Kluyveromyces lactis: one gene and its partner. The protein of the gene in region 1 purifies or fractionates together with the protein of each later gene. This does not show direct contact. Links are inferred from orthologs where the notes say so. Each region holds a gene or a part of one and is shown in the gene's direction. Other genes may lie near its edges.

Region 1 (3,356 bases):
AGATCAACAGGACTCGAAACCTTTGACACTTACACTAGAGCAAGCTTTACCAACAATATTCTACGACATGTACAGCCCAGATATTTTGATGAATCCTCAAAATTTGATGAGCAACGGAAGGCCGAACTTTACTAAGAGAGAACTTTTAGATTGGGATATTAATGATATAAGGTCGTTACTCATAATAGAGTCCTTGAGGCCCGAATGGAACGGGAAACTTCCTACCATAGCATTCAATCAACTGCAGGGTAACAATGGTACGGAACCATCTATTCCTGAGTTCAGGTTCCAGTTATTACCACTGAATTCCCCAGATGAATTCATCATATCGACGTTGGTAAGTTCTGATCTTTATATCGAAGCTAATCTTGACTACGAGTTTAAGCTAACCAGTGCCAAATATACAGTCAATTCAGCTAGGAAAAGACACGAAGAGCTAATAGGCCATCACGAACCAGTCATGCAACTATCGAAGCCTGAATGGAGAAACATTATAGAGAACTACTTACTTAACATTGTAGTTGAGGCACAATGTAGATTTGATTTCAAGAAGGCTTGTTCTGAGTACAAAAAATGGAAGTTAGATCAACTGAAACAACAAGCTCTCCAACAAAACATGATTCTTCAGCAGCAAAATACTGTAAAGAAACCTAATATGCCACCTCCATCAATAATACCGAAGAAGTCTAAGAATTCGCTGCTCAGAAGGGCACTACTAAGAAACTCTCAAATCAAGATCGAGGAACAATTGGAACTTGAACAGCAACAGGCTTTGCAACAGCAACAACAACAAGCTCCTGTGCCATTAGTCGAAGTACCTACGAAAGTGTCTTTAACAAAAGACGAAAAGTCAATGGTCTGGTCCCATTGCCAACTGCAAGTGTACCAAAGACTAGGTTTAGATTGGACACCTGACAATGTCAGTGCAAACAGAATCCAGTCATGATCAATTGGAAATTACAATTACGGAAAACTTTCTCATTCTAATGAACATATATATATATATATTTTTTTTTTTTTTTTTTTAATGCTATCCCTTCAACTGCGTACCAAGCTAAATTTATGACCATATCTTGCACAGTACTGCCTTAAGTGCAGTTATTACATCACATATTAACAGTATATAAATATTTATTCGTTTAGTTCGATTGTAACTAGTATTATTCACCAGGTAGGGTAACTATATTTCCTCCATCTTTCGTTGGTTTAAAATTTACAAAGCTGCAGAAATTGAAAACTACAGAAGTATTAAAGACATAGAATAGCAGAGGTAAGCTATTGAAGTTGTCTTTGCTAATTTGTGACACTGCATACCCATCGGTGAAACCAAAAAATCACTTCAAGATGGCACAGCTAAGCAAAGAAGCCAGTGATTTGATGGCTCGTTTGAACATCAAAGAACCTGCAAAAAAGGCATCTGAGGACAATGACACAACATCTGAAACTAAGGTTGAGAAGGAAGATGCTAAAGAGACTAAAGCTGAAGAACCAGCAAACAAGGTTATTAACTCTGAATACGAAGTGAAGGTTAATCTTGCCGATTTGCAGGCAGATGCAAACTCACCATTGTATAGTGTAAAGTCTTTTGAAGAGCTTGGTCTATCTGAGGAGCTTTTGAAAGGGTTGTATGCAATGAAGTTCCAAAAGCCATCTAAGATTCAAGAGAAAGCTTTACCATTATTGATTAGAGATCCTCCACATAACATGATTGCACAATCACAATCTGGTACGGGTAAGACGGCAGCATTTTCATTGACAATGTTGACTCGTGTAGATCCAAATGTCAATTCAACACAGGCCATCTGTCTATCACCAGCGAGAGAATTGGCTAGACAAACTTTAGAAGTTATCCAAGAAATGGGTAAATTTACTAAGACTTCTTCACAATTAGTGGTTCCGGATTCATTCGAAAGAAATAAGCCGATAACTGCAAACATAGTTGTCGGTACACCTGGTACAGTTCTCGATTTGATTCGTAGAAAAATGTTAAACTTGGGATCAATCAAAGTCTTCGTGTTGGATGAAGCAGATAATATGTTAGACAAACAAGGTCTAGGTGATCAATGTATCCGTGTGAAGAAATTTTTACCCAAGACATGTCAATTAGTGTTGTTCTCTGCCACTTTTGATGACGGGGTACGTCAATATGCCAAGAAGATCATCCCAACTGCAGTTTCTTTAGAATTACAAAAGAATGAGGTCAACGTTAGTGCCATCAAACAATTGTTCATGGACTGTGACAACGAAGAACACAAATACACAATATTATCTGAACTTTATGGTCTATTAACCATTGGTTCTTCCATTATTTTCGTGAAAACAAAGCAAACTGCCAACTTGCTATATGCAAAACTTAAAAAGGAGGGCCACCAGGTATCAATCTTGCATGGTGACTTACAAAGTCAAGATAGAGATAGATTGATCGATGACTTCAGAGAGGGTAGATCCAAGGTCTTGATCACAACAAACGTTTTAGCTCGTGGTATCGACATACCATCCGTTTCCATGGTCGTCAATTACGATCTCCCTACACTACCTAATGGACAAGCAGACCCTTCAACCTATGTTCATAGAATCGGTCGTACCGGTAGATTTGGCCGTACCGGTGTGGCTATTTCATTCATTCACGACAAGAAATCGTTCGAAGTACTATCGGCTATACAAAAGTACTTTGGTGATATCGAAATTACTAAAGTCCCAACCGATGATCTGGATGAAATGGAAACCATCGTTAAAAAAGCTTTAAAGGCCTAGAGAAAAGTACTGTATCTACTTTTATATACATTTTCCCTATTGATACCTTTTACAGTCATAATAATAGTAATCGATTAGTTGAAATAAAAATCAACTTGACCAAAACATGGAACGGTTTCGACGTGAAGTTACAGATACACATATTTACCACTATCATTCTTTAGTGATTACTGGCACTATTGGATGAGGGTCTTCAGCATTGGCATATCTCAAGACCCTATTGCAAAACAGCGGAAATTCTGAAAGGGAAAAATGAAAAATAAAAAAACAAACTATAAAAATAATGAAATGGCAAAGAGTTTAACCATCTAATAAACCTTGCCCGTATAAACAAAACGGGGCCACCAGCACCAAACAACAACTTCAAGATGGATTCTGCTAAGATTATCAACATTATTATCGGTATGTCAGAATGATGTGAATAGAATTTCTTTTCATACTTCCTGGAATTGAGTGCGCAATTGCATAGCTTCGTGTTTTAGGTACATATCTGTGATTGCTTACTTAGTCATTTTATTCTTTCCGAAACCATGTTTTTACTAACAAACGCAACAACTATTTTGATAAATGAATGGCGGTGCCATCTTTAGCCTGCAAGGTTC
Region 2 (2,547 bases), on another chromosome or scaffold:
AATGGTCGTCTTACCGATTTCTTAGGTACTGGCTCTAGGAAATGGAGTGAATAGCGCAGTTTTGTGCTTTGTGCGGTAGACGGAATAAACTGTATAGGCAACCAGTAAAAGGATCTACGAGTGAACTAGTAAGTTACAAAGTGGAATTGATTGGCCCATTATAAAGGCTGTGCAGGAGTCCGAACATCTCAGAAAACCATTTACAAAATGAGCTGCCTACCTACATGGTTCTTTCTTTTTATTCACACAAGTTGCACCAATCGATGTGCTTGTTTCGAGTGAGCAAGTAGCTGATTTTCATTTTCTTTTTTTTTTTTTGGCCTTAGGGAAAACTTACTAGGAACATGAAAAGGTAGTTGTTATAATGGATTGTAGTGGGTAGGTAGGTTGAGGCATTTCTGGTACATTCCGTATATTCGAGTGTGCTCGCTGTACCCTCTGCAGGTGTACTGGCTCCCAATATTATTCTTTTTTTTCGTTCAAATTGTGAGAAACAGAGAGAGAGAGAGAAAACGAAACGGCATCCTGTAATTACCCGAAGCAATATTGGGTCATATACCTGCTAAAACCCGGTCAATATTGACGTACTTTCTTTTCGGAATAACAAGTATGCAGCTGTGACACGCCGTGATTGCAACATTGTCTGGAATTCCTATGTTATTTCCCATTTTATTATTCGTTGAAACAATTGTGTTGTCTGTTTCCTAAGTGATGCGAGTTACCACAAGGCTCTCGAGTATTCACATAAACCAATGCAGGGGGTGGAACATCTCGCGTATAAATCCTATTTAGGAACTTCCCCATTAGGAAATGGAGGAACGGTCTTGAAGTTTTCTGTTTACGGCGAGTTTTCTACGCTTACCAGGTGACTTGAAAATATATGTTCCTGGGACTGCTCACCCGGACATTTTTGTTTTAGTTTTTTTTCCAATTTTTTCTGCATTGCCATTTTGGGTACTTATCTCATTGAAAATGTTCATTTATCTGAAGCATTAACCCATACACCACATGTGTTGGTGAGTAAATACTGTCTTTCAGATGATTTTTTCATTTTCACCATACCAATCGCAGCGATTCGGACGGTTTGACGAATATTGTTCTCATCATCGCTTTACAATCTGGTTCATTATGAACATAAGTGCCATTGGACATACAAGATACTTACTTTAGTTAGTTTTATTATCACCTATAATTTCGAGCTCCCCGACGAACAAATAAAGTAAAAATGGTTGCCATTATCTCCAAGAAGAGAAAGCTTGTCGCTGACGGTGTTTTCTACGCCGAATTGAACGAATTCTTCACCAGAGAATTGGCTGAAGAAGGTTACTCTGGTGTCGAAGTCAGAGTTACTCCAACCAAGACCGAAATTATCATCAGAGCTACTAAGGTTCAAGATGTTGTTGGTGAAAATGGTAGAAGAATCAACGAATTGACCTTGTTGATTGAAAAGAGATTCAAGTACAAGCGTGGTACCATTGCTTTATACGCTGAAAGAGTCCATGACCGTGGTTTGTCCGCTGTTGCTCAAGCTGAATCCATGAAGTTCAAATTGTTGAACGGTTTGGCCATCAGAAGAGCTGCTTACGGTGTTGTCAGATACGTTATGGAATCTGGTGCCAAGGGTTGTGAAGTTGTCATCTCCGGTAAGTTGAGAGCTGCTAGAGCCAAGTCCATGAAGTTCGCTGACGGTTTCTTGATCCACTCCGGTCAACCAGTCAACGACTTCATTGAAACCGCTACCAGACACGTTTTGTTGAGACAAGGTGTTTTGGGTATTAAGGTTAAGATCATGAAGGACCCATCTAGAAACACCTCTGGTCCAAAGGCTTTGCCAGATGCTGTTACCATCATCGAACCAAAGGAAGAAGAACCAGTTTTGGAACCTTCTGTCAAGGATTACAGACCAACTGAACCAGTTGAAGCTGCTGAATCTGCTTAAATCAATTGATATCTGTTTGATTCTATATTATTAATTAGTCTATTAAATACCGTTCTTATATGTATAAATATTAAGAAACTCATCAATTCTTTTAAAAATAAGTAATCTATGCCCAGATGACATCGATTAAAACGTCCTGCTTTTATCAATGGATTTTTAAAATGATTTATCGATAGCGCCTTCCGATAATGCCTTTCCGCCTTTCAGTTCCTTTATCTTTCATACTAATCAAAAAAATTCGGTGGGCAAAAATCATGTAAATTATTAAAAAAAAAGAGAATATATAGTGCGTACTGAAAAAACCAATGGCTCAATTATAGATGAATTGTTAACCATTTAATACCACACGTAGGGTCTATACGTTCCATTTTTAAGAGAACGTAGGTATCGCTCACTAAACACATTGACTGAAAGTAAATATGGGCCTAACTTATAAGGATTTTTGTGCTGTAGGTACAGCATTGATCATTGGATCAACTACTTTTTTGATGGGGATCTTCTTTTCTAATCAACCATATGACTATAATATCCTATTCAATCCTGCTGCCACGCCGGAGCATTTTGAGAACGCTTTGAAACACTACCAGACTCTATTCTACACGGCCAAG

What was found. The genes of interacting proteins can lie anywhere in the genome.
Region 2: the proteins of DBP5 (region 1) and RPS3 purify together in Saccharomyces cerevisiae (affinity purification with western blotting; 3 studies listed by BioGRID, with this or other methods). This does not show direct contact. The link is inferred for Kluyveromyces lactis from reciprocal best matches to the Saccharomyces cerevisiae genes DBP5 and RPS3.

What each region holds. Positions count from the first base shown.
Region 1 is NC_006042.1:1,475,769-1,479,124, forward strand, and holds DBP5 (ATP-dependent RNA helicase DBP5), read left to right. Parts: upstream 1-1,344; coding exon 1,345-2,754; downstream 2,755-3,356. Other genes in the region: STD1 (Std1p), read left to right, coding at 1-946. UniProt on the Saccharomyces cerevisiae protein: ATP-dependent RNA helicase associated with the nuclear pore complex and essential for mRNA export from the nucleus. May participate in a terminal step of mRNA export through the removal of proteins that accompany mRNA through the nucleopore complex.
Region 2 is NC_006040.1:705,017-707,563, reverse strand, and holds RPS3 (40S ribosomal protein uS3), read left to right. Parts: upstream 1-1,225; coding exon 1,226-1,939; downstream 1,940-2,547. Other genes in the region: SHR3 (Shr3p), read left to right, coding at 2,359-2,547. UniProt on the Saccharomyces cerevisiae protein: Component of the ribosome, a large ribonucleoprotein complex responsible for the synthesis of proteins in the cell.